Linked DNA regions of Oryzias latipes. The protein of the gene in region 2 purifies or fractionates together with the protein of the main gene of each other region. This does not show direct contact. Links are inferred from orthologs where the notes say so. Each region holds a gene or a part of one and is shown on either strand. Other genes may lie near its edges. The genes, in order: vps41, vps33a and tgfbrap1.

Evidence for each region.
Region 1: the proteins of vps33a (region 2) and vps41 purify together in Homo sapiens (affinity purification with mass spectrometry; 5 studies listed by BioGRID and IntAct, counting the BioPlex papers as one, with this or other methods). This does not show direct contact. The link is inferred for Oryzias latipes from reciprocal best matches to the Homo sapiens genes VPS33A and VPS41.
Region 3: the proteins of vps33a (region 2) and tgfbrap1 purify together in Homo sapiens (co-immunoprecipitation; 5 studies listed by BioGRID and IntAct, with this or other methods). This does not show direct contact. The link is inferred for Oryzias latipes from reciprocal best matches to the Homo sapiens genes VPS33A and TGFBRAP1.

What each region holds. Positions count from the first base shown.
Region 1 is NC_019878.2:20,691,140-20,694,796, reverse strand, and holds part of vps41 (vacuolar protein sorting-associated protein 41 homolog), read left to right. Parts: intron 1-2,350; coding exon 2,351-2,458; intron 2,459-3,657. UniProt on the Homo sapiens protein: Plays a role in vesicle-mediated protein trafficking to lysosomal compartments including the endocytic membrane transport and autophagic pathways. Acts as a component of the HOPS endosomal tethering complex.
Region 2 is NC_019867.2:18,267,906-18,270,909, reverse strand, and holds the end of vps33a (vacuolar protein sorting-associated protein 33A), read right to left. Parts: intron 2,621-3,004; coding exon 2,427-2,620; 3' UTR 1,761-2,426; intron 1,187-1,760; 3' UTR 624-1,186; downstream 1-623.
Region 3 is NC_019861.2:16,414,982-16,418,638, forward strand, and holds part of tgfbrap1 (transforming growth factor-beta receptor-associated protein 1), read right to left. Parts: intron 2,124-3,657; coding exon 1,969-2,123; intron 1,517-1,968; coding exon 1,434-1,516; intron 183-1,433; coding exon 2-182; intron 1-1. UniProt on the Homo sapiens protein: Plays a role in the TGF-beta/activin signaling pathway. It associates with inactive heteromeric TGF-beta and activin receptor complexes, mainly through the type II receptor, and is released upon activation of signaling.

The DNA.
Region 1 (3,657 bases), on a different chromosome or scaffold from region 2:
CCCTCGCATCAGAAATCTCACAACCAGAATACACAGGAAATAGCCTAGATATGGCGTTGTTGAGTGGGAAAGGATTGTTTTTGAAAATAACATTTTTTCCACGCTATTGTCCCCCACCTCCAACCCAGTAGCACATAATGGCAGACAATGTTTTGAGTTGATGCACCCTCTGGGCAGCCACAGACTGTGCAGTATTGGTTATAAACCGAATTATGAGTAATATTCAGGCTGTGACTGGCTGCAAATGTTGACTCATGCTGGAAAGTGTAACACAGTAGAATACTTTAAGTTTGCTTTATGAAAACAATAAATTCACGCGTCTCACTGGGGATAAACGGCATTGAGAAAAGATGAAAAATTGTTGTTTTAGGCCTTTCATGCAAGGTAATGAAAATTTGTCCCTTTTTTGGGTATCTCCTACACATATACATGTAAACACTTCTCAAAATAGATTGGTTCTATGCAGAAATACTCTTTCTTGATACAATGACAGAACTCATTTTATTTAGCCAATAGCATATAAAGGTATGAATCCAAATAACACCAGATAATACCAGTTATTTTAATTAAAAAGGTATATTTAAGCTTTAAATGAACATAAAGGTCAGTAACACGCATGTACCATAGTATGAGCATCGTATTGTTTTAAGTTTACATTTTTTAACCAGTAGTCTTTCTCATAGTCTGTTTTCCCTTCTTATCTTTGCCTTCTACCTTTAGATTTTCCACTTTTTTTATGTTGTTTTAGGAGGTAAAAGGACAAAAAAATGTAGCAAAAATCCCCTTGAGAATATTATGGCATAGTATTTTAATAACAGGAATATTAAATAAGTAAAAAAAAAATTTGTATCTTTAATATATTAAATGCTTCCAGTCCATACATTTGTGCTGCTTTGCTCTTTGACATCACATTTTTTAAATCTATTTGTTAATTTATTTAATCTCCTAATATCGGTTTTATTCACTGCCTGCTGCTTATAAAGTGATACACTTCATAGAAATTGTTTATTTCAATATGTCAGGCTTGGATCGTACTTTTACAAATTTCGCAGTTTTAGTTTGTTTAGCAAAAAGGGAGCCGGTTTAGCTCGTGCTGGTTTGCGGCGCCTTCCAACCGTGAAACCAGGGTTCAACTCCGGGCTGCTCCCTGTTCCCTTCTCTTCCTCTGTGCCGGTCCCAAGCCCGGTTTGAGAAGGTTGCGTCAGGAACGGCGTCCGGTGTAAAACATTGCCAAGTTTACCATGCGACTTGTTCACTGTGGCGACCCCTGATGGGAGAAGCCGAAAGAGGAAGAAGAAGTTTGTTTAGCAAAAAAAAAAAGGATCTGCTGATGCTTTTTTGTGGAATTAGTGATGCCATCCAGTTTTATTTGTGGAAAAACAACATTTAAACATCTTTTAAAATGTATTCTATTTCTTTTTTGCCTCATTGACACAAGTTGAAATAATTAAAAATAGGCTTTAATGATCCAATCGGATCCCCTTCTTGATTTATTTTAAAAGTTTTCTCTGCAATCTTTTGAAGATGATTATTCCTTTTTAGCCACAATCTTAAAACCTGCGCCGTTTTCCAGGATATAGTTTCTGCGGGGTGAGTTCATTAGAAATTGGTCTCTTGGTTGTGGGTTAGGGCCCTTGGCGCATAGCAAACCCCGCCCCCTTTCCCCTCCCCGTTGTGGAGCAGGGAGCTGAGTCCTGTGTATTTTATGTTGCAGATGCAATCTTTATCAGACTGCATTTTTTTGTCTGCTCCTGATTCACAACAATTTTGAATAAAGAAATACTCAGAAATGCAATTTTGAGCTGAATTTTCTTTATATCTGTCTGCCATCATCAGATTAATTGGAGTTGTTTAGTTGGCTTATATGAGCTGAGAAGTCCGTGTTATGGACATATTAATAAAGACAATATTTCCTTAGGTGTGGATCTTAAATTCATAAAGTATGCAGTTTAGGTTTATTAAGTGAAGAAAAAGGATCTTCTGATGCTTTTTTTGTGGAATCGGTGTTTCCATCTTGTTTTTCTTGGTAGAAATAGAAAAGATGAACACCTTTTAAAATCTTTTCTAATTGCCTTTTGCATTGATATTAGTTCAAACTGGGTTTTTAATTTCTGAAGCATTCAAAGTCATGTCTTTATGTAATATTTGAAATAAGCATTTAGAGAAAGGGGTCTAAAACTTCATATGTCACATCAGTTTGAAACCAACAGGAAGAGAACTTTTTGCATATTTCAACACACTGCACGGACGTCTTTGAAAGTGTCTTTTGTAACTTCTGTGAAGTGGCTGTGTGTAAATGACTACCTTTAAGAAAGTGTTGAGTGAAAGCCCATTTCCCTCTCCGAACCAGGAGGAGGACAGTGAGGAGGAGGCCAAGTTAAAGTACGAGAGGCTCTCCAACGGGGTGACAGACATCCTTAAGAATGACGCAGCCAGCTGCATGACCGTCCACGACAAGGTAAAGGTGATAATCCCCCCCCCACGCCCGCCGGGGCTTTTCAGTTTCAAGTCCAATCATTTCAGCCAAAGATTTCCCTTTGTTTATGTGTGCATTTGAGAGATGTCATCTTCAAAGTTGGTTTTCATCCCTGCTGCTCAATCTGCAAAGGCAGCCCATTCTTTTCTCACCTTCCTCTGCTTTTCCTCTCAGGGAGGTGCATCAAAAGCCACTATTGTCTTTTCCTCTTTTTATTCCCACTCCTACATATTTTTCACTCCTTTCCCATTTGCTGAATGTTGATATGTTTAAGAGGCACACTCCTCTGCGAGATGCTTAATCGTCGTGGCACCGGCAGCACACTTGCACGCCTGGGTAGAGCGAAAGTCATACCCAGTTACGTCTCCTCACCTGATGTTTTATTAACTGCAGCTGATTTTCATTTATTTATTTGTTTTGTGTAAATCTGCTCCCCCTTTTCTTTTTCCCTTCAGAACGGGCCTCAGCTGAAAGATGAGCGATCCGAGAACATTTTTAATTTTTCTTTTCTCCGTTGTTGTGCACCTTCAGCCATTCAGATGTGGTCACACCAGCCCCCTCCGCCGTGACAAAACTCCCGCAACCTTAAATCACCGGGAGCACATATTGCCTTATGTTGCCTCATATTTTAAGTGTCTGAATCGGAATTTCATTTGAACAATTCCATCCTGATAAATCCTTTTAAAAGTCGCTCCGCCTCACAAGGTTGAACCTTTTATTTATTTATTTTTGGGTTATTTTATTTGGAAGATTGCAGGGGCTCTGTCTGACATGCTCAGCTGTGCCTGTAAATATAAGCATTTCATTATAGACTGCACTGAAGCATGGTGGGCTCGCCGCACATCCACATGCTGCTCCGGGAGGGAGGGGGGATTAGGAGGAGGGCGCCGAGCAGGGACTTGGTAGAAGAACACACACTTAATCTAATGCCAGAAGCCCCACTTTCTATAATGTTTTTGTCCCTGTGGACTGAGGCAAACACACACACACACGTTCAAATGCACACCCGCGCTTTTGCTGAAGCGCGACTCCCAGGAACCAGTTGCTGCTCAGTAGTCTGTTCTGGGCAAGGAGGTGATTGGGTTGCATGCAGAGCATTGAAGAAGTCAGATGTACAGTGCATTTATTATGCTTAAGCATTTTAATTTGAGGAGGGGAAAAAATGCCATTTCACAGTGTCT
Region 2 (3,004 bases):
ATGTATTCCGCCCCTGTGTATTGTTTCAGGGAAGGAAATCAAACACACACCCCAGAAAAGGGGCGCATTTAGAAAAAAAGGAGCCCCTAAACGATGACGTGAAGTTAAGTGGGAAAAATATTTATTCATTTATTTCAGAGAAGTTTTTTATTTTTATATATCTTTTTTTTATCTATCTATATATACACCGTACACACACACACACACACACACACACACACACACACACACACACACACACACAAAGACACATATCAAAATCAATTTTGCAGTGTGGCACATGACTTCTACTTGTCACTACAGGAAAATCACATACACTTTTTATGGTATCTCAGTTTAAAAAGTGTTGCTGATGTTGTCTCCTATAAATTAACTTTCAACTGTATTGGGACGCTATAAAGTATTTGTATATGCTATTACTACAGGATGCATGCTTTGATGAGGCTGCATCCACCCGAGTTGCTCAAAGATGTCACCTTTTTCAAATGACTCTAAAGTTTTAGTGTTCTTCTGTTTGTTTCTGGCCTCCAGGTGTTTTTCTTGCTCGCCTGGAGGTCAAATTCACGAGACGGGTAAGATCCACCGAGACTGTGTGCTTTAAAATATGTGTCTGTGGACAAAAATGTAGGTAAACATTTTATTTTCTAGGAATATACTGCTCATTATACAACCATACAGACATGTTTACTGTGCTTCAGCACAGATATGGAATTGCACATATGGACAAAATGCTGACAATCACATGGAATGCAAGCTGGCTTGACAACAATTTCAGTTTCTTCAAAGTTCCTGTTAAGGCCTACTTTAGATTCATTAAAAAAAAACATATAAAAGGCATTAGGGCTGCCACAATCAAAGAAGAAAACAGGCATCATAAACGCTACTGTTGTTTTGCAAGAACAGCAAAAGCCCAAAAAAAAAACGAGACCTTGTTTGATCAGCTTGAGCCTCATAGGTCAAAACTTTATTTGCCCACCATGAAGTAAGTGGTCCACCTCGCGAGGAGCAAACCACCGAACAGTACTGTGTAGCTGAAGAGAACAAATTTGAGGACTTCTTTGAATGTTCGGAGGAAGCGGATGATCAGAGGATCCACGTCCACTGGCACCTCCAGCACCTTCGGCCTCTGACCAGGCTGAGTCAGGTGTCCCATGTTCTCCCCTCGACCCATCTCTCATACACACACCTGTCATATTGCAATAGCAAAAAAAAAACAACAACTCGTTTATGTATCAAGGATGGCATAGAGAAGGATGCACGTGCTTACAATCAAAAGAATAAAAGTGTAGCTGTACCCAAATTTGGTTGAAGATCAGGCTCAGAAAGATAGAAAGCTAACTAGTACATTCTAAACTAGAAAATTAATGTTTTTCAAGTAAATTCCGTGCAGTTTGTTTGGAGTAAAAATGCCAAACAAGAATTTTTAGCCTCTCAGAAGCCAAAGGATGTGTACAGTAAAAGGACCCCGATTAATAATTAATATTTAAATTGCTCTAAGTGTATTGATTAGCTTTTTTCACTTCTTAAAATGACTTCTCGGCAGAAAACAAAAACACAACATTCATGTTCAACTAAAACATTTTCAGTAAAATGCAAAAAAATGATTTAAGCTCTATTTTGGACTATCTCAGAACAAATCTTCAGATGAATTTAATTAGTTATTTGAAATAAATGTTTTCATCACAGGTGATTTGACCTGTGGCGTCATAAAAAAGTCGAGGTATATTTTCCCATTTTTAAAAGAAGCAAACTTTCCATACCTTGATGATATTGAAGCGGGACAGCTGGGGGTGGACTGCTGTGCTTCAGCCGTCTGCTCCAAATCTGCGTGTGCAGAATCGAGCGTCTCAAGTTCTTCTTGCAGAGGAGGGAGCAAAAGTAAAACTGACCACATGGATCTCAAGGCAACTGCTGTCCGTTTATTCCCAATTTAAATCTTCGGCATGTTTATCTTCCCAAAGAAAGCAGATTTTAAAAGCAAAACAAGAATTCAACTAAATATTTTACAATTTTAGGAAACCAGCACAGAAGACATTTACATTGACTGGAAAGCAGCAAAAATATCTGTCAGCAGGTTTTCCTGTATATACAGTGGCGGGCATGGAGAAGCTATTGACTGACACAGAGATCAAACACCCTCCCACAGCACAGTTATCCTCCACCGGAACATGGAGCAAATGGCTTCCTAATTAAATCAGTGTCCTGCGCTGTCAAATCACAGGCGGCTGGAGGCTGAGCTCTCCTGGCAGCACTGGGCTATTATCGGCTGATCAGGAGGCCTGTTACTGTGCTAATTGCTTCTTCAGTGAGCTGGACCACAGCTGATGGATACACTGCCGTTTCTGCTTTTCCCCCAAAAATGACCCACTAAGCAGCAAGCAAAACACGCTTATGACATGACCAAATCTAGGAGGAAGTTGCTTTTTTTATTTTGGACTCCAAGAAATACCCTCCATGAGGGTCTTAATCCATGTTGTGCCATTGATGAGTTTTGTGGTTGCGATGATGTACTCCATCCCGCTGTCTTCCATTTGAGAGAGGAATCGGAGAGCAGATATTTCTGCGTATGTCACTCCACCGAGGAAGAAGACCAGCGTTGTTCGGTTTTCCCCCTGCTGACCTGTGGGTGGGTGGGGGGTTAAACAGAAATAGTAAAGATATAAAAAATAGAAAATAATCCCACAAATCCCAAATATCATTCAGGTTTTCCAATTCCTGGTAAAAATAGGAAAATTGCCAAAGACTCCCTGTTGAAACTCTAAAATAGCTGCATCGCCTTGCCTGAAAATTGCCAATTATCACCTTTATAAACCAATAGATGGCAGGCCTGTAGCAACAAGACAACTAGCACATCCGTTTGTTTACTTCTAATGAAGTGTTTAATGATTTCTCACTTGGAAGGGTGTTATTGCCAAAACAAATTCATGACCAAATACGTATTTTTGTCTTCAGAACTTTGGCCAAACGCACATACACCCACAGACACCAGCCCCAGCGCTGATGG
Region 3 (3,657 bases), on a different chromosome or scaffold from region 2:
CCTCTTTCAGATAACTGATGAGGAACCTCTTGCACTGTAGAACTTTCTCCTGGTCGCCCTGTGCAAGATGGTTGAGGTCGGCGAACTCGTGGAGAGGAGGGTGAAAGCGGGTGAAGGAGGAAGAAGCGGGTAGCAGCAACGGGTAGAGAGAGATCAGCTCCCGCACATCCAGTTCACCCTTCCTAAAGACAAAAACATTGCAGGTTGATGAAAGATCAGAAACCTGAAGGCAAGGAGAGTCTGAGCTTTGACCACGTCGGACGACATCAAACACCACACAGTCGAGAGAGAAAATGAGAAAAAAGCAAATACAAGCCTTCAATCAAAACATGAAAAAAACTCTTCAAAACAAATATGTACTACTAAGGTTCTCAACACAGGTTCACTTGACAGCTGAATTTCTTTTTACATGGTTTTGAATGCAGTTATAGTAGTAAAAAAAACCAAAGGAACCTGGGTAAATAAATACCAGACACGTGATTTCTATATAATAAAGACTATAAATGAAGAATATCAGGCTGTGAAGACCATATCCCAAAATGTTCCAGTTCAAAACGAAGCTTTATTGACTCAACAGTATTCTTTATTCTCCAATTACAGCTTCATGTGTTCCAGAAAAAGTTAGATAAACAATAGTTCCTTATTCTAATATGACATAAAATTCTTTTCTACATTATAAACCACTGACATCATTAAGGTAAAACATAGACCAGGGGGGGCAAACACGCGGCTCTCGGCCAATAAGCATGCGGCTCTTTGCGTCTCATCATATTTTCTATTTACTGTGCCTCATTTCATAGTTTTTTCCCTCTTAAACCAAACTCAAATCCATCAGAGGGTATAAATAAAAAAATAATAATAAAAGTAATTTGGCTGTTTGTGTGTTTTAATGCTGCTCCCGGCACATTGTATTAATGTGTTTATTGTGAATATGTATTACTCAGACACCAGAAGGATGCTCTGTCCAGATGTTTATCATCGTAAATCTGACTTCAGAGGAGTCGGTGCCTCACCAGCCATCAACCTCACTGCCCGTCACTGAGTAGCTGTGTGTGTCAGAGAGAGGCAGAGAAAAGAGTGAGATAGAGAGATAGTGTGTGTGTGTGTGTATGAGATGTGTCTGTGGAGGGGGTATCTGACCTCCAGGGTTGACTCTCTTAACTCTGGCTAAGCTCCATTTGATGTGTGTATTGAGGGTGGACACTTTCCTTGAAATAAACACAAGTGCAATGCTTGCTGTTGTATTGTAAGGAGAGGAGTGTTTATGGAAAATAATACGGCTTTAATTGTGTGTTTGTGTGTGTACGTCTTGGCAGGTCTGTGTGTGGTGTGGCTCTTTGACTCTCACAGTGAAAAAAATTCGACTCTTGGTGTCAAAGACAAAAACTCTCAGTTTAGTCACAAAACAACAGATTTAAGTGAATGGAACAAACCTAAAATGGTCTTTGGCTTCCTGAAACTGAAGCTTGCCGAACTGTATGAACCCCGCTCGCTGGAGGATTCTTCTGTGCAAAACCTAAAGAAAGAAAATAAACATTAGTTCCTAAAATATTTAAAAGATCTCAAAACCTCCAATAGCATTTTTTCATCTCGCTTTAGTCCAGTGTTTTTCAACTGGCGTAGTAAATGATTCGAGTTCACCCTATTGGTCTAAAAAACATTGACCATATCCAGGAAAGCAGCTTTGTGTTCATTCAAACACGCCCAGGTTTCACACTGAGTAGTTAGGAATATAAAAGCTCTTAAATACTTTTTTTCATTTATTTGATGACAGTTCAAAAATTTCTATATATTGTTCATACAAACAACATAAATTCTTTTTTCTTACATTTTCATTCAGTGGTGTGCCTTGTGATTTTTAATCAAATAAAAAAAAAAAAAGAATGTACCTTAAATCAAAAAAAAGTTTAAAAACAAAACAAAACACTGCTTTAGTCCATGTAAAAACATTGATGGGCTGCTGTTTACCTGAAATTTGTCTTTGGGAATGTTTCTCTGTGCGCCCTCCATGAGCATGAGCGCCTCCTCCACCCGGTGACTGGCCAGCAGATCCTGGATCTGTCTCTCCAAAGGCAGAGGCACCAGGACGTACACCGCCTTTGTGGAGGCCAGAATGACCTTCCCTAAAAACACAGAGCCCCCAATAAGTTCCTCCTGCTAAAGCAATCTTCTGAATGACAAGCATTCTTAACAAACAAAAAAAATGTAGACGTCTATCCCGATAGCATTTAAAGACACACGCTGATGAAAATTATGTTTTGGATATTTTTAACATATTTTTAACAAGCATTTTTCTAATGATGGAAGACATATATAAGGAAAATTAGGCATAAAGTTGTATTTATCTGTATTTGTCTATTTAAATTTATGTGAATCAGGAGCAGACAAAAAAATGTCGTTTGAAAAAGCGTGTAGCTGTTGCGTAAAAGCTACAGTCAGCACGCCACAAACTGTGCTCCGTTCAATTCTGATGCGTCCACTTGTAGACAAACAGATCCATGCATGTCTTTCTTTTCCTCATCTGAGCTGGAACCCGGCTCAAAACTCTGATATTGTTGCACCGGTGATGTTAGATTGGGGTTGTGAGCGGCTGTAAACTAACAGGAGAGCGTGTTGGATGGGTGTTAGATGGGTGACGGGAAGTTAGGGCGGGCTTACTAAGTGCCATCATTCCCACCCAAAACTTGGGGTGACTTTCTAAGGAATTACTGCCGCTCAGCAGAAACTATGTCTTAGAAAACGACACAGGTTCTTTATATTTTGGCTAAAAACTGCATAATCATAATTAAATCATAAGACCACTGGGAATGCTTTAGAAATCAAAAGATGATCAGAGAGGGATTTAATGAGGAAAAAATTGTTGATGTGTTGTTATTAAAAATTTTAAAAGATTACATTTAAAGTGTAAAACTTTTTAAACTGTATTCTACTAAATAGGAAGATAAACAAGTAAAACCAATACCTCCCTTACTCCTGATTGACACTGCAGTTAAAATCAATTCCAGCCTCTTCATTCACTTCCATGCAAACAAAAGCAAAACTTCAGGCTAAAGAAGCTGAGAGCGGTCATACTTACTGTCATATTTAAACACCTCATTTCAAGAGGCCAGTGTTTATTGATTCGTATTTTCAGGTTTCCCTGAAAAAAACTTTTAACCAAAATTCCAGTTGTTCTGATAATATTTTCAACTAAATGCTGATTTCATACAGAGCTTTCAGAGCCACATTTGAGCCTTAAAATTATTTAAGACAGCAAAATTTCTGGTTTCTCTTAGAAATAAACTATTAGAATAACCCAAATGAGTAACACTGAAGTCACAACGTCAGGAATTTCATTTGCTGAAGAGGATCGTTCTGCTGCAGCGTAGTGATTAGACATGTCTGCTTTATTTTCAAAACAATCACCAGTCAGTCGGAGACATGTAGCGTGCAATGGGTCTGCTACCACAGAAGGTCGACTCTTGTTATATACGACTCACAAACTCAGCACGGAAATAAGCTGCTCCGAATTATTAAAGAAAAAAACTTGACTAATGTCCTCCCTCCTGCCATTAACACCTAACACTGATCCTGCTAAAACTTATACAAAAAGAAAAAAAAACATCTTTTACTAAAATCTTTATTCTCATTGAAAGGCAGAAAGATTCACAAAAGAGT